Canis lupus familiaris: one gene and its partners. The protein of the gene in region 3 purifies or fractionates together with the protein of the main gene of each other region. This does not show direct contact. Links are inferred from orthologs where the notes say so. Each region holds a gene or a part of one and is shown on either strand. Other genes may lie near its edges.

Evidence for each region.
Region 1: the proteins of STK40 (region 3) and TRIB1 purify together in Homo sapiens (affinity purification with mass spectrometry; 3 studies listed by BioGRID and IntAct, counting the BioPlex papers as one, with this or other methods). This does not show direct contact. The link is inferred for Canis lupus familiaris from reciprocal best matches to the Homo sapiens genes STK40 and TRIB1.
Region 2: the proteins of STK40 (region 3) and COP1 purify together in Homo sapiens (affinity purification with mass spectrometry; 3 studies listed by BioGRID and IntAct, counting the BioPlex papers as one, with this or other methods). This does not show direct contact. The link is inferred for Canis lupus familiaris from reciprocal best matches to the Homo sapiens genes STK40 and COP1.

The regions. Positions count from the first base shown.
Region 1 is NC_049234.1:23,757,425-23,762,835, reverse strand, and holds part of TRIB1 (tribbles homolog 1), read right to left. Parts: intron 4,121-5,411; coding exon 3,828-4,120; intron 1,194-3,827; coding exon 728-1,193; 3' UTR 1-727. UniProt on the Homo sapiens protein: Adapter protein involved in protein degradation by interacting with COP1 ubiquitin ligase. The COP1-binding motif is masked by autoinhibitory interactions with the protein kinase domain.
Region 2 is NC_049228.1:23,348,773-23,354,727, forward strand, and holds part of COP1 (E3 ubiquitin-protein ligase COP1), read left to right. Parts: intron 1-1,757; coding exon 1,758-1,901; intron 1,902-4,161; coding exon 4,162-4,270; intron 4,271-4,678; coding exon 4,679-4,760; intron 4,761-5,955. UniProt on the Homo sapiens protein: E3 ubiquitin-protein ligase that mediates ubiquitination and subsequent proteasomal degradation of target proteins.
Region 3 is NC_049236.1:5,986,574-5,992,528, reverse strand, and holds part of STK40 (serine/threonine-protein kinase 40), read right to left. Parts: intron 4,608-5,955; coding exon 4,488-4,607; intron 2,957-4,487; coding exon 2,871-2,956; intron 2,498-2,870; coding exon 2,354-2,497; intron 337-2,353; coding exon 109-336; intron 1-108. UniProt on the Homo sapiens protein: May be a negative regulator of NF-kappa-B and p53-mediated gene transcription.

The DNA of each region.
Region 1 (5,411 bases), on a different chromosome or scaffold from region 3:
GCAGAGAAGGAGCCGTTTCAAGGTCAGAAGGAAGGCATTAGTGCAAATGAGGTCTTGGCAGGAAATGGAGGAGAGCGTCTGGGTTCGTGGTGCAGGCTCCTCTGCTCCTCAAAAAGTCCGCTCCGACGACGACGGGGGCGCAGGGTCACTGGGAGAGGTGAGTGTGAAGGAAGGGTGCGTATTAAACCAAACCAAACCAAGAACTTTCCAAGAGAGAAGCCGGGGGAGCGACAGTCTAGCTCCCAGAGACAAGGTCAAAGATGGCAGGTTTATTGGCCAACGTGATTTGTCACCCTGTTAAAATATGGTTATTGCCCAAAACGCCACTGTGCGACTCACTTCCTCTCCCTTTAAAATGTTCACGTCCATTTCACTTGGCCACACGCTGTAGGATATCCATACTCTTTGCCACCCCTGAAGATGCAGGAACCCCCACCCCCGCCCCGCCCCATCTGACAGCGAGACAGCGGGCCAGGGTTCGAGACAGCCGGCCAGGGTTCGTTGAGAAGGGAAACGACTTTGCAGGGCGGCCGATCGATCCGAATGTGTGCTGCTCAGATCAATACAGTCACTCGTCACAACAGGTAAGAGGGGGTGCCACGTCGAGTTCAGCAGCTACCAGCTTTACGCCATCACGTATCTGGTTGGCACCACGCCGAAAGGCCTGTCCATCTTTAGAAATGGAAATGCCATGTGTGAGAATTATGAGGTTTCTGAGGTTTGGGGATTAGCAGAAGAAGGAACTAATGTCACTGTCCTCTTGGTAGTCTGGAACAATCTGGTCTGAAGTTCCCATTTCTGAGTCAACGTATCCAGGTTCCAAGACAGACTCAAACCAGGGATGGAGTAAGATCTCCGGGGCAGTGAGTCTCTCGGAGGGCTCCCGTCTCAGGAGGCTGCGAATGAGGCACCTGGCTTTGGGGGAAATGTGGTCAGGAATGCAGAACTGTCCACGTCGGATTTTGGAGAAGAGGGCACTGGGATCTGAGTCATGGAAGGGGTATCGTCCCACCAAAAGGGTGTAGAGCATCACCCCTAGGCTCCAAACGTCTGCCGCCTTTCCGGAGTAGGTCCCCGTGGTGTTCAGAATCTCAGGGCTCACGTAGGCCGGGCAGCCGTGCTTGTCTGACAGAGCATCGTCTTCCCCCTTGATTATGTGTGTGTCTTCTAGACTTTCCAGTCTGAGCTGGCTTCTGCAGGAGAGGAAACAAGCTATTACTTCCAGATCGGCTGCTATGAAAAAACAAAGCCTCCTCTATAACAGCACCCACAGGCACTAAAAGCAAAGGCCCAAGGAATGCCATTTACCCCTTCATCCACTAAGCAGGGCCCTGCAACCACCCAGGACTCAGGATTTCACAAACCAATACAAACTGCAATAAACATTCGCAAAGTATCAAGAGCGCCTGGGGCGGAGGGTATGATGCAAAGCCCCAAATACTATTCATTAGGCTAGAGCTTAGAAGAGATATCCTAATAGGGTTACACAACTTACAAAGTTCACATTGCAGAAGTGGGAGCTTGTCTCAGGGGAATGCTGACATTTTTATACAGAAGCTGTCAGGGAAGAACAGTATATCCCTCCTTCTGGGGCGGTGGGGGGGGGGGGGGAGCTGAGCATCCTACAGGCCCATCTTCTTCTCGTGCCACTGACTGCTGGGGCTACATGGGCCCCCCTTCCGCATTACAGAACACGAGGCCCAGAGTCAAGGCTATCATGCTCACGTTGTCAGCACTCCTGCTCACGCCTGCGTGATAGACACACACAGGGAACTCTGTCTACCTGAGCCCAGGGCACGATAACCGTGACGGGAAAGGTGCCAGGAATGTTAATTACATTTATTGGGGTGTTTCATTGCAAAGAACACTTAGCCGGGACCTGGAGGTTATACGGGCAATCAGAAGTGGCTGGTGGATTTGAAGGATGCGGGGCCTCCGAACATCCGTACCCACGGATGGCACATCGACACCTGAACCTATTTCTTCTTTGTGGAGGTTTATCTTCCACATGGGGGGCTATCTCCTACATGGGGGGGTTTATCTTCTACATAGAGGGTTTATCTTCTACATGGGGGGTTTTATCCCCTACATGGGGGGGTTATCTCCTACATGGGGGGTTATCTTCTACATGGGGGGGGGTTTATCTCCTTCATGGGGGGTTTATCTCCTTCATGGGGGGGCTTATCTTCTATATGGGGCTCTGAAAAAAATCTTTAGGCAGAGGCTCTCTTCTGAAGCTGCAGGTGCCTCCTTATTCAGACGCACCTACCCATAGGTCATGGGTCCCCCAAAGCCCAGAGCCTTGTGGGGAACCTCTATCATCTGGTGGCAGACCGTGCCCCTCCCTGCTTCTCTGAAATAGCCCTGTTTCAGTAAGTCACTTGTTGTGAAGTCAAAGGCAAACATTTGGTGCTGGCTAATGGGTCAATTTCTTTTCCTCTCAAAGGTCTGGTTGTGTTTTTTTTTTTTTTTCTTCCTGCCTTCCTGTTCCCTGGAGTGTAGTATACATGTGCTAACTTCGTATGTCCTCAGCCTGACCTCCCCGTCGTTATGTAAAATACCCATTGGTTCTGTAAACGGAAAATATGACTCAACCCACACTGTCTGCCCCTGATTGGCTGCTGTAGTACTAAAACCCTGCACCTGTGCTGGTTCCCCGGCTAGCGTCAGCCTGCCATTGCTTAACCCTCGGGTTGCCAAACCCCGTGCACATGACATTCGCCTGTGCAATGCGGATTTCAAAAGCTAGTAAAGGAGGTGTGTAAGGCATGTTTCAGAAAATACATCAACATATCAAAGGAGCATGTTCCAGGAATTGGAAACTTCTCCATTGCAAATACTTTGCTTTTCTTTGCTAATCGGTTATGTTCCAATAAGTTTTGCAAGGTCAGATATAAAGCTATGCTTTATGGCAACTCAACCCTGTACTCTTTCCTACGGATCTGGAGGCAAGGGTAAAAATGCACAGCTGGGGGCAGCCCCCCCACACACACACAAATAACTGCAACAAAATAATACACACCCCTCCACAATTCTACAGGGGGTTTTTCCCTCCTTATCTTTCCAGAAGAGATCCGGCCCACCTCTTAAAGTCAAGTAAGGTCTATTCCCCGCGGCTTCCTGAATTCCCTTGCCTGAAACCTCAACTCTGAATCCTAGCGTCTCGTTATTCTCTTATCAAGCTCATCTTGTCCTTTATGAGGGAAAGTCACCATCTATATTTAGGAACCAATTCCAGCCAACATCCATTTATTATTCAATGTGGCTACTTTCTCAAGATGTATCCAAACAAGAGGTCTGAAAAGTCATCAGAGAATGTGAAGAGCAGTACTGGGGGCCAGCCCAAAGTGGAACAGGAGTAGGGTACAAAGGAGGAGAGCAGAATAGGGCTAATCCAACAGTTTAGCTCTGTCATACTTTTTAGGTACAAAAAAAAAAAAAAAATTAAAAAGCTCCCCGCTTGGTAGAAGCCAGGATTTGAAAACTTCCTTTAGGAGTCAATGCGGTGAGGCCGGACTGACCATCTGTTACCCGAGAAGAACTGACCTTTCTGATAACAATGGGGATAAACTTGATCCTGGAGTGGAAGTGGGGAGGGCATCCTGTCATCATGTGACATCCCACAGAAAGAAGCACCAAGGTGTCCCGGGGCCACATCCACGACAGTGCAGAATAAGCCATCCTTGGCCGTGGCTCCTGGGGAGCGGCCTTTCTAAATACTCATTCTGGGACAACCGAGCCCTTGGCTCTGATGCGAACCAACACTCTGTACCTAACCGCTTAACCTGCCCCGCAAGGCCACAGGAGGAGCTGCGAAGGCTGCTCACCTCTCCTCCGTGGAGAAGACGAATTTCCTAAGTTTCAGGTCCCCGAGCACGATGGCCGACTGATGGCAGTGGGCAACGGCGGAAACAATCTGCTTGAAGAGCCGGGCAGCCTCCTCTTCCCGCAGCCTCTTCCGGCTTCGCACATAGGAGTGCATGTCCCCAAAGTCCTTCTCAAAGAAGACATAGGCCTTGGTTTCCCCAAGGATCACTTCCACAATGCCAGTGATGTTCCTGTGTGACGGCAGCTGGATGTAAGGCCTGATTTTGTCCTGGTAGTGTTTAATAGGAAACACCTGCAGAGAGACGGTGACCCCATTTAGGAAGCTAGAAAAGCAGAGGCTGCCTCCTGAATGCCGGACTGCAGCTCTCGGCCTTCGGCCTTGGGTTGACAGTACGGCTCCCTTCATTTATCTCTGCACCACCACCACCACCCCACACCTTATGCAAGAAGCCTCAGCTGCCTCTAACACCCCAAACCAGCAACATAGAGGGCTCTGGCTAGCAGATGCCCACTGGGTTACTCTACGGATGGTTTAAAAGAGCTGTCTTCTATATATGTCGCCTCCTTTCACGGGGGCTGAGCCCTAAAGCTCGCACCCTATGTGGCCCTTCCTTGTTTGCAGGTGGGGGCTGCTGCAAGTAGCTGCAGGAAGCCCCACCCCCCCACCCCTCCCGGGATCTCCAGGAGCTGAAAATGCATGACCCCCTGCAGACCCAAAGCTCTCACCACAGAGAGCACAGAATGTGGTGACTCTGCAGCCTCCGAGTGGAAGCAGGGGCTGGGGAACATGCAGATCTGTCATTAGTCAGAAGGAACAGATGACTCGCAGAAAGACTGTGACAACAGAGCCTTAAACAACCTGCCTATACAGTCTGACTCAGGTAGAAACGGCCTTGAGTTAAAATTAGCACAGGATATGGGATGTTCTGTATGGTTTTTACATTTGTTTGTTTATCTCCAGCACCACCCCACCCCGAGGTGGGGGGGTGGGGGGCACAGAGCTCCCACCCTCCACCTTCACCAGGGAAATGGGTAGTCTCTCCTCTCAGAAGCTAGCTGGTCTCTTTAAGGGCCTTTTGTTTAGTCCGGTTACTCATATCCTAGACTCAACTGGAAACGGTGACACATGGGCTGTCACCATCTGGATTCAGCTATTATCTGCTCAGAGGAACTGGAAGGGGTTGCACAATGGCCAGACCCACCCCACCTCTGAGGCCTGGCTGCCCCGGCCCCGGCTAGATGAATCTCTGAGCCGCTCCGCCCCCCCCCCCCCCCCCCCCACCCCCCATCTTCCCCAAACCGCTCTGAGCCCCGGCGCCCCAGCGCCCGGGAAGAAAGGATTCCCCCTCCCCGTGCACCGGGCTGGAGCCCGCCTTGGAAATTTCATTCCCGTCGGACAGTAGGTGGCAGCAGCGAGCCTAGGGAGGGGGAGGCGGGTGGAGTTCAGGTGAGTTGCGGAAAACCCGAGAGCCACTTTAACGGAGGGGTGACCCCGTCTCTCGCTTGAAAAGGAGCAGCCCCGAGGCTCGTGGGGGACGTCGGGGCCGGGGGTGCACGCGGAGGATCCTGCTCCTAGGAGCCCT
Region 2 (5,955 bases), on a different chromosome or scaffold from region 3:
CACAACACTATAATGCTGATTTATTAGCCATATATGTTTGTATGTGGAGTAAAAGTATCTAGATTGAAGTTTCAGCCATACCCAAACTTTCTCAGTAAAGGATAGGATTTCAGTTCTGAGAACTCTTCTTTGCCAGACACAGTAATATTTCTCCTTCCGTGGCATTACACTATGGGTATAAATTGAATCAGGATAGATAAGTAGTTGCCATCAATATAACTGTGCTACATTAGAATCCATAGGGCAGATAACAGCTGAACCAGCAGTTCAGTTATGGTTGTTGTAAAGAGAAATTCATTGCTTTGCCATGTAGTTCTATTTTATTGGAGGGAATATTTGCTGATTTGTGCTATAGCCCATAACATTTAATGAAATTGTTATAACATTAAGAAAGGATTTAAAGCTATAAGAAAAGTGCACATCTCAATGTGTTTTTATACAAAATATTCATATTATGTACCTTTTATTCATCATCATCATTAGCTTGGTAAGCTTTTAACTAAATTATTAACTAATCATTAACTGTTCTGCAAAAGGATATCACAAGTAACCCAGAAAGAAAAGTGTAGGTATTTATACACATTGAGTGAATGCTTGATATATGCAGAGTACTACCATATCATCCTAGCCACTTAAAGGCTTACTAACTTTAGGCAAATTGCTTCACCTCTAATTCTCAGTTTTCTTGTGTGTAAAATGTAGATAAAGGTAATACCTGTCTCGTAGGGCTATTATGAGAATTAAATAAATTAATACCAGTGGTTATGCTTAGTGGTCAGTGAATGTTAGCTGTTACTATTGTGTAATTAATTATAGATCAGTGAGAATTCTTATCTAGCCTTACAGCTAAGCTTCTAGAACAGATTCTTAACTTCTTGAGAAATACGTGATAATTCATTTCACTCTTATTTCCATTAGGTTACTTATATTTCTTGCTGGTTATATAACAACTTTGTTGAGACTCCAAGTTAAGTTCAATAAAGGTGAATAAGGTGTGCTTTGCTTTGAAGTATCTTATTTTGGAACTTGTGTAAAAAGTCAGTAAGAGAAGGATGAATTCCCCAAGTAACCCTAAAAAAGGAGATTTTTAGTTTTTCCCTTTTTTGTGGTGTAAGAAACTATTGGGAGTTACATAAGTTAGATCATCTTTGGGAGGTGAGAAATGAGTTTGGGAAAACATAGTGATAAGTTAATGATTCCATTTTTGTGTATATTTCATACCTTTGTCATCATCTTTTCTTTAATTGCTTCAGTAATTCAGTTTGTGTACTAATTTATTAAAATAACATTGCATACTGGGAAGTTCTGTCATCCTCACAAAATGGTAGCAGGGAAATAGATTTATGAAGAGATTATTTGGTAATTCTCTTCTAACATATTTTTTAATATACCAAACCTTTTCATCTTTCCTTGCTACTTTTATAATTCAACTTGTTAATCTTTATAGTTGGGTAGGTTTTAATATGGTTTACTAAAGATGAATTGAAAAACATGTGATGTTTCTAGGAACTGGGGGGTAGCTATAAGAATTGTGTAGCTATGCACAGTTCTCTACCACTTGTAATGTGGTATGTCTTGATCATGACTTTATCTGAACATAAAGTCTAGTACAATTTGGGGGCATTTCAAGTCAATCTCTTATTCTTATAGACATTTTGACTTTAGAAATAGAAAAAAAACCCCTGAAATGTTGTCATTGTAATGTCACAGGGATAGGGAAATAGTCTTACTAACTAAATACACATTTTCTTCCATAGTATTGAATTTGACCGAGATTGTGACTATTTTGCAATTGCTGGGGTTACAAAGAAGATTAAAGTCTATGAATATGGCACAGTCATTCAGGATGCGGTGGATATTCATTACCCTGAAAATGAAATGACCTGCAATTCCAAAATCAGGTACTTAGGTTATTTTTTTTAGACATAATGTGTGTATAAAATATTTAATATCTATAGTTAGTATGAGTTTGTTATTTTACCTTTCTGTGAGATTCCTTACTCATTCATAGTGAACAGTAATTGTATACAGAGAATACTTCAGAATCTATCTTACAGATTATGGTTGCTTTTTCCCTGTGGGGGTTAGTAGTCATTGTTTTTCTCTTTGACAAATGAAAGTCCTCTTTGCTTCACTTAAATAAAATTATGTGTTGTAAATGATCATCCAGGGGGTGTTGAATAAGGGATTACTTTAGCCTATGTATACTGTCTGAAAGTCAGGAAAAATTCCTGACCCATTCCTAGCATGTCATATCTTCACATATTATAATTGTTTATAGTTTTAAGAATTGTTTTAAGAAAAAAAAGAATTGTTTTTATAAGAACATTTTGCTGCTTTTCATTGAGGGCCTAATATTTAACTTTCATAGGTTAGGGTTAGAGCTCATAATGAATGCTTTTCAAATCTAGAGTACTGTTAAAAGTGCAGGAACTAGAAATTACTTTAGATCTGCCAATCCCAAAATCTCAGGGGAATTTTATAATCTACATTTTTAAAAACAAGTTTCCTAAGCTATTCTCATGGGTGCTGGCTTAAATTGGAATGATGCATGGAAATCATTTAATAATTTATTTATATCTGTGAACATTTTCCAACTGTCCTTGTATCTTTTTTTAACTGAATTAACATACATATATGTGTGTAGTCATTTTAATAATGTTAATAATTTAGCAAGTATTACAGTATTTATATAATGTATTTGTTATAGCTTTCCTTTTTCTTTCCTAATTAATTCATAACAATGGTAGGCTGATAATTTGTGAGGCTGCTCATTCATCAGTGGTGCTCACAACTGAGAATCTGTTATAGTTTATCCTAAGTGGAAAGAAAACAGCACGAGTAAGACATAACTTTATTGAATTCCTATGTGACAGACATTATCTTTATCTTAAGTAGACCTATTAGATACTGTTATTGCCCAATCTTAGACACGAGGAAGCTGAAGCACAGAAAGGTTAATTAACTTGATTGAAATCACACAGCTAGTCTCTGGAGGAGCCAGGATTCAAACAGTTTGATTGCAGAGTCTCTGCTTTTAACCATTATGAAACAGAGGGCATAGTAGCAATCCTTATTTTATAAGATTACACTTTTTTTTTAAGGAGAATGAGCAGGGAAGGACAGAGGGAGAGAGAATCTCAAGCAGGTTCCACATCCAGCACAGAGCCCAACGTGAGGCTTAATTTCATACCCTGAGATTATGACCTGAAGTCAAAAGTCATCTAGGTTAATTGCTTTCTAAGTGGCTTCTTCCTTAATATACCTAAGCTTTACTATATATACATGATTCACATATGTGTCTCACCAAAAGCATACATTTTTAGATGTTGTATTCTCAGTTTTGGAGCACTTAATAGCTGAAACCATAAATGGTAAAAGCTTAATTCTGACTCTTAAAATCAATCCTAAGGTTATAGTAGATGAGATTTTTTTTTAGATGAGATTTTTTTAATGTAAACACAGAAACCCAATTCAGATTAGCTTGCTTGCTTGCTTGCTTGCTTGCTTGCTTGTTTGTTTGTTTATTTATTTATTTATTTATTTATTTATTTATTTATTTATTTTCAAAAAAGATCTTATTTATTCCTGAGAGACACACAGACTGAGGCCGAGACGTAGAGGGAGAAGCAAGCGCCCTGCAGGGAACCCAATGCGGGACTCAGTCCCAGGACCCGAGGATCATACCCTGAGGTGAAGGGAGATGCTCAACCACTGAGCCACCCAGGTGCCCCCCCAGTTCAGATTAGTTTATTAACTTATACGTTTTGGCACAACTTGATCCAGGGGCCTACACAATTTGAATACGTCTCTGTCATTGTGCTATGGCATGCTTTGTGTCCCATTAGCCTCTGTTTACACTCATAGACATGCTTTCATTTCTGACATTTGGCCAGTGGTGGCTTTAGGCTTATGTGCATCTTTTGGTTAGTGATCAGAGTGAGTAGTGGTGTAAGGGTCATTATTAGGTAGTTCAGTAGAAAAACTTAGGAGTTAATTGATATATTTCTTCCCAGCTGTGTTGTGGGCAGATTAATGATTATGAAGCCATGTTGACCATTTCTTAAGGGTTCTAATCTTTCTGCACACATCAAAATTCTTTGTATTCATTGTTACTTATTTCTACATAAAGTAAAGCTTAACTCTCTTTCTTTCTTTCAGCTGTATCAGTTGGAGTAGTTACCATAAGAATCTGTTAGCCAGCAGTGATTATGAAGGCACTGTCATCCTATGGGATGGATTCACAGGACAGAGGTCAAAGGTCTATCAGGTAAATAGGATATTATTTTTTTTTAAGGTTCACATTTTTACTTAATTGTAATTACAAATGTAGCCACTATTTAGCAATTTTATACCTATGTATAGCAAATAATGCTTTTAATTACAAATTTAAAGTCACTATTTAGCATTTTTTATACCTATGTAATAGCAGATAATGCTTTTCTAAAACATTTCTTCAGACTTGTTTTGCATTTGAAGAATGTGTCAAATGCATTTCCAAAAGCAATAAAATATGTATATATAAAAAGCCTGGAAATTACTTTGCATCTCATTTGTTTTTGTAGCCTGTTCTTTCTCTCTCCCACCAGAGCAATAAATTGGTATCAAGCTTTTTGCTTAATTTCTTATAAGATCTATGTCTGTCTGATACTACTTTTTGTCTTCCTTCTATGTCTAGGAACATGAGAAAAGGTGTTGGAGTGTTGACTTTAACTTAATGGATCCTAAACTCTTGGCATCGGGTTCTGATGATGCAAAAGGTACTATTTGAATCTCTTCTACTTTCTCTAATTCCTTACTCCCAACTTAATTCCTTTTAGTGGCAGAGGTGCAGATATTTATTAGAAATCATAGCAATCCTTTGTGATTATCATTCTAAAAATAATCTAAGCACCACAATCTATCTCTTTTGGAGTGAAAGAAAAATGTATATACTACATCTTCATTATAATAATTTTCTCTGGATTCATGTCATATGGTGATATTTTTATAACCAATTCCTTTATATATACCATCAAGTAAACTTTTTTTCTGAAATATTTAGACAGATATCTCTTTTCTAAAAAAATTTTTATTATTTATTCATGAGAGACATAGTGAGACAAGCAGAGACATAGGCAGAGGGAGAAGCAGGCTTCCCCGCAGGGAGTCTAGTGCAGAGGACTAGATCCCATGACCCCAGGACTCCAGGATCATGACCTGAGCCAAAGGCAGATGCTCAACCACTGAGCCACCCAGGTGTCCCCAATACATCTCTGTGTATCCATCATTACTATTCATTTTTTTTCAGTTATCCTTAATGTTTTTTTGGCCTGGTTATGCTCACCATTAGATTTATAAAGCCCTGTTAACAGATTTCTTTTACCTTATAGTTAATGGTTTTAATTTTTTGCCATTCTTTTTTTTTTTTTTTTTTAAAGATTTTATTTATTCATTCATGAGAGACACAGAGAAGCAGAGATAGAGGCAGAGGGAGAAGCAGGCTCTATGCAAGGAGCCCGATGTGGGACTTGATCCCTGGACTCCAGGATCACGCCCTGAAGCCAAAGGCAGACGCTAAACCACTGAGCCACCCAGGTGTCCCTGCCATTTTTTTCTACATGTAACCTCCAGACTAGTGGTTAGATAGGCAGAGATAGCTCTAGTGTTGAAAAGTTTATTTTGTAATGGTAGTGCATGCCCTAGTCTGTAAAAGAGACAGGAACATGACAGGACTTTACGCCAAACAAAAAGTAGCAAGTTGTTTACCCATAGTATGTATAGATTGGAATACGTTTCTTCTTGGTTGTTTTAGGAAATTATCCTTGAATTTATAAATTATTTAGAGTATCATATGATAGTTGATATTTGTATGTTTGAATACAAAGTTTTACTAATTAATGTTAAATGTTCTTTTTCATAATATATGTGGGATAGCTTTTATTGAGTTGAATACTCATATTTTTGTACTGAAGA
Region 3 (5,955 bases):
CAGCACGAGGGTGGCCTTCCACGGCTGCAGGGCCTGGAGGCCCCTCCGTCACCGGGAGCCAGGATAGGCCAGCCAGCGGCGGAGGACGTGCAGAAGGGCAGACGTCACCTGGTGCAGGGCCTCCACGACGCGCACCACGTCGTAAAAGATGACCACGGTCTCCCGCTCACTGAGCCGCTTCTCCTTGATGACGTAGTGCTGTAGGTTGATCAGGTCGGCAGTCTTGTCGCTGAAGTCGTGGGCACAGAGGCAGTCGAGGACAAGGCAGATGCGCTTCTTCATCTTCTTAACCATCCGGCTGGATTCCGTGTCCTCAACGATTTCACAGGTGCGGTCCTGCGAGGCAGGGGCAGACCAAGGCTTGGCTGGGGCCAGCGGCGCTGGGGGCTCGGGACGCCCCCCCCCACCCAGAGTTGGAGGCCTGGGGCCTGGACCTGGGGTCCACTGCGGAACACCCGGCTTCCTCCGTGCCAGGGCCCAGCCCAGCTGAGGCCTCAGATTAAATGCCTCGTGATCTGGTCCTGATGCACGGGGTTTGGATCGGGGCTGAGCATGAAATGCCAAAGGGACGCCTGAGCCCAGGGTGCGGGTGGCAAGCCCAGGGCTTCCAGTCGTGACCCAGGTCCCGAGATAATAGAAGTCAGGTGTCCCATGGGCCCAAGACAAGTGCTTTCACACAGATGCAGGACCCCTGGGCAGCCGCGAACCGTGGGTCTGTTGGGGTTCAGGCTCCGGCTTGTTCCAGCTGTGGGACAGGGGGCAGTTCACCTCACTTCTCTAAGTCTTTGGTCCCTTGTCCGTCAAAGGGAGCTAGCACCCTCCCTCACAGGCTGTCCAGAGCAGACAGCAACCCGTGCCTGTGCTCAGGATGTGGGTCCTGCCACCAGCATGTGTTGGGCCCATTTTCCTTGCCAAAAAGATATTTCTTTTTCTTTTCTTTCTTTCATTCTTTTTTTTTTCTTTCTTTCTTTCTTTTTTAAGATTTTATTTATTTATTCATGAGAGACACAGAGAGAGAGAGGCAGAGACACAGGCAGAGGGAGGAATAGGCTCAATGCAGGGAGCCTGATGTGGGACTTGATCCCCGGGACTCCAGGATCACGCCCTGGGCCGAAGGCAGGCACTAAACCACTGAGCCACCCAGGGATCCCCATCTTTTTTTTTTTTTTTTTTTTAAGATTTTTAAGAAAGTAATCTCTACACCAAATGTAGGGCCTAAACCTACAACCCCTACTGATGAGCCAGCTCAGGGAGACGCTCAGTGTCATCCCCAGCAGACCGATGCTTGGCTCTGGGGGACTGCGGGGGGCTCTAATCACCCACGTTCTGTTATCCAAGATGATACGGGGGGCGGGGGGCAAGCTCTGGCAGGCATCAGAGATCATGCACTGTGGACTCCCCATCACCCTCGGTGTGGTTTCACGTGGAAGGGAAACACTGATTCTCAGAGTTGGCTCTAATCGCACACCTAACAATAAAGCCCTCGGTAGGGCGTGTGGGGTCGGGGTGGGTTGGGTTGCATTTTGCCTCGATTTTACCCAAGAACTCAAGCTGATGGGCAAGTAAGTGCAATGAGCACGTAGGGACAGCTCGGGCCGCGCACAGGCATGCTCACCCTCCCGAGCCCCCTGCGAGCGAGCAAGGCAGGCATCCGTCACTGCCTCCATTCTACGGATGAGGAACCTAGGGACTGGACGTGACTTGCCCCAGGTCACACAGCCTGAATCTGGGGCCGCCGGCGCTGAACCTCTGTGCCTCCTGAGTGCGGGTCCATCTGGCGAGAGTGGCCCTGGCCAGCGAGTCTAGCTGGGGGCCCCGCGGAAGCTCTGCTGGGGGCCTGAGCGGGAGGCCTCCCGGGCGCCCTGATGCGGGCCTTCCTCATTTCTGGAGACACCAAGTCGGTTCAGCCCCGAGGAGGGCTCTTCGGGCTGGGAGTTATTCACTAGTGCCTTCCCTATGGGACCTGGGAATCCGGGCACACTGGGCAGGAGGCTCGGGGATACTTCTCAACAGCTGGTATACCTGGGCAGGCCGGAGGATGGCTGGCACCCAAACCAGGGATCCACGGGTGGCCCTCAGGGCACGTCCCTCCTCGTCGCCCCTCCCACCCTGGCCTGGCCCACTCCTGACACGGCAGGAAAGGGCCCGGGATTGACATAACGTCATGCTTTCCCCCTTTCTGAGGAAAGTGACCCTGCCAAGAAAGGGGCACTCCCAGCAGGCCGCGAGTGCTACCGCAGGAGAGGCCAGGCCTGACCTCCAGCCCCCCACCCAGGAGGTCCTGGTGCACCCGGCGTGCCGGGCGGGCTGCTGGAGGGACCCACCCCCCGGGGATGGCCCCTCTGCCACTCACCTGGAAGAGCCCGTGGTGGTGAACCACGCCGTCCTGCGTGTGGAGGAGGGAGAGCAGAGAGTACTCGGTGTGTAACAGCATCTTGCCTTGCCTCTCCTCCTGGCTCTCTATTCCTTGGTCCCCCCTCTCCTCAAGGGTGAGGATCTTTAGGGAGGCACACACGCAAAAAGGCCAAAAATCCAAAAAAAAAAAAAAAAAATCCTGACTTTACAAAGCTGACTAGAACAGGATGAGCCGGGGCGGCGGGGGTGGGGTTGGGGGGGTGCTCAGGTCTGGTACATGACACCTGCACGCACACTCGCACGGGCACGCACAATGTGCAGGGCTTTTCTCAACGTGACAGCAGTGTGACTCTCGCTCATCGAGCTCTCGAAATCAGGCGTGTTCGCAGCGAGACTGCGTGAGCCCGAGTGAGCACTTCCCGGGAAGAAATGCTGCTACTTTGGTTTGCAGGTGGTGTGGGTGTGAAGCTGGGGAGGGGAGAGCAGCCAGCGGCCACCCAGGGCGCCTCACTCACCTTCAGCTGATAGAAGTCATCCGTGCCGTCCTTCCTCGCCAAACACTGCACGATGCTGGGCACCGGGGAGTTGCCCAGGCGAGGGCCTACGGCACACAGAGCTGGGCTCACTTCTACCCCCCCGCGTCTCGTGGACCACGTGGTCTTTCTGCACCCCCCACAGCAGCTCACGGCCACCAAGCTGCCCCCGCCCCCAGGTCTCCCGGGAGATCCCCACAGTCTCCCCTCCAAACATGGAGGAGTGTGTGCGACCCCCCGAGGTCCACCTGGCTTCTACGGGCATGTTTCTCAAACATGGGGGTCTCCGACAGGGGTGTGCACCAGCACCTGAGGAGCACGTGTTCACAGAAGGGGGCCCAGCGGCCACCTGGAGCCTGAGTCGGCACCTCCAGGGCGGGGCGGGGGGGCGGGGCGGGGGCGCTACAGCTTTGGTGAGACCCCTCGCAGCGTGGGGTGGCCGCCGGGCCCCCCTTGGACAGGCCGGGGAGCTTCTGTACTTCAGAGATGTCCATGCTCCTTTTCCCTTGCCAGCGTCCCACCCAGGGCTCAGAGCAGAAGTCACGTGAGGTCACTGTGTCACTTCACCGTGCGTCACTGCTCTTAACATACAGCCAAGGGCCGGTAGGACTTGGTTCCTGCCCACCTCCCTGGTTACGTGTCGTGTCCCCCCCCCCCCCCCCCGCCCCGTGGCCATGCTCCAGCCACACAGGGCACCTGCGTACTAACTTGGGAAGCGCTTTCCTGCCTCTGGGCCTTCGCCTTTGCACTTCCTTCTGTGTGGAATGCTTTTCCCCTGCATTCCCCACGGCTGGCTGCTCTGCAGCTGTCAGCCCAAACCTCCGTCCTCGGACAGGCCTTCCTGGTCTCACATGGTCTTGTTTACCTCCTTCAAGGCCCTTACGGCCCTGTTGGTGACCGTGTGCGTTGTTTACCCTGTTCCTTTCCCCCAATAGCCTCTTAAGTTCTCTGCGGGCAGTTCTGGTCTTTCTTGTCCACGGCTGCGCCCCTAGCGAACAGCCTAGGCCCGGCGCATGGCCGATGCCACCCTGTGTCCCTGAGTCTGAGACGCCGCCTCAGGGCGAAATTCACACTGGGTCTCCGGCTGATGGAAGGGTCAGGGTCCTCAGAGCCCACTTCACCCCTGCACCCTGAGCACAGCAACCCTGGTTCCTGGGGCCTCCAAGGCCTACGGCTCTTGTGGACCACAGGGCACACCCAACTCCACAGGACTTCTGTGCCTTATATAAGAAGTCTGGAGGGCCGCACCAGATGCCGGGTGGAATGAACTGTGCCCTCCAAGGATGGCCAGAGGAGTGCCTTGGATGATGGGCCGTGGGTTCTGATGCAGCTCGTGTGCCTCCCCTGTGCGCCATGGGGGGCGGGTGCAAACGGGGTGCTCTGGGGGAAGAAACAGCCTAGCTCTTGGCTGGAGCTGGTCGGGACTGGGGAGGCTACAGCAACAACGGCAACTCGGGCGCAGCAGGACCTTGAGGCTCCAGGTCCCCCACGGGCACAGCGGGACCACACTCAGAGCAGCAGGGCTCGGGCCGCCCCACGCTGGGGGCTGTGGCACTCCCCCTGCACCTGCCCCCCGCGCCCCAGCCCCCCGAGGCTTACCCAGGATGAACGGTCCAGCTCTCTTTGCATTATTTCCGGAAATGCCACCTCCTAGAGCCTTGGCCCTGGCCGACGTTTCCCCAGCTCCTCTGTCCGATGCTCTCCGCTTCATTCTCAGCTCTAGACAAGAAGAGGAGGCCTCCTCACTAAGCAAGGCAGCGAGTTTCCCCACGCGAACCCAGCCTGCGAGCCTCTGACTTGGGGATGCGTCACACAGCTGCGGCTGCTGTTCTCCGCCTGCCCCCCTCCCAGAGGAGCATCAAAGGTTCCCAGTGACAAAGAGCCACAGCTCCTTTCCTGGCATTAATCAGGGGCTCGGGGTGGGGGGGGCGTCCTTCCAGGCAGCATATACTGGCTACCGAGGTGGGCAGCCAGCCTGCGTTAATGGGGCCAGTCAAAGGCAGAGGGGACGACGCTGCTTTGTGCAGAAGCAAACTGGGGTCCCCAACGGACCACCCCAGAGACAGAGGAGACATGGCCCGGAAGCTGTTCCCAACACGAGGCCTTCCCCCGAAGTACCTGCAGCTGCGTGGCCTGAAGTAGTGAATCCTGGGCCCTGTATGCCCCCACTGATCCCTGGGGCGCTGCGGGGAGGGGGCCGGGGACTTGCCTGCCCCCCGAGTGGGAGCGGATGGCTGCCTGAGGGTCTTCTCCCTCAAACTCCCCTAATGAACACCCATAAAGTGTCAGTGGGGTGGCGGATTTACTTTCTCTTCCCTTTCTCCTATTTTCAACTTTTTCTTTAATTACTTTGAAAGAAGACACATTGTACATTTAAGAGCCGGTGAAAGGATGCTGATGGAGGTCACTGAGTGCCTGGGTCTCCCCGGAAATCCCTGTCCCCTCCAGGGTTAAGATAAAAGATGGACACAGAAGCCAGATTCTAGAACATAACCTCTGGATGTGGAGTAAATACGACAAGAGAGTTGCTCCTTTCAGCTGCCTACAATTCAGGGCTCGCGGAGGCTGTGTCCTGGATGTGGGGCAGGGACACGGAGGGACACAGAGGAGATCCACACAGGGAAGGCAGAGGGCCACGGGCTGCCAGGGGAAGGCCAGCTGCCCAGCCCTGAGGAGGGCCCTTGGGCTTCAGGCAGCTCAAGGAAAACTTCCCCGAGGAGGGGATGGTGGTGTGGGCCGGGGGAGGGGCAGGCCACTCCAGGCAGGAGGACCTGCTGAGCGAACCCGTCACAGGGAAGCAAAGGCACGTCACAGGGAAGCAAAGGCACGTAAGCAACAATCTCCAAGGACTTTGTGTTGCTGGTGGGAACAGCACGAAGCAGGGAGGGGTGGCAAGACGTGACCCAGAGGGAGGGACAAGGGTGGGATCTAGGGGACCTGATGGCCAAGTTAGGAGTGTAGCTTGGGGACACTGAACCATAAACTTCTATAATTCTTTTTCTTTGTACAGAAGTAACTAGCATTCCCTGCAGTAACATTAGAAAATGCAGATAAGCAAAAATAAGAA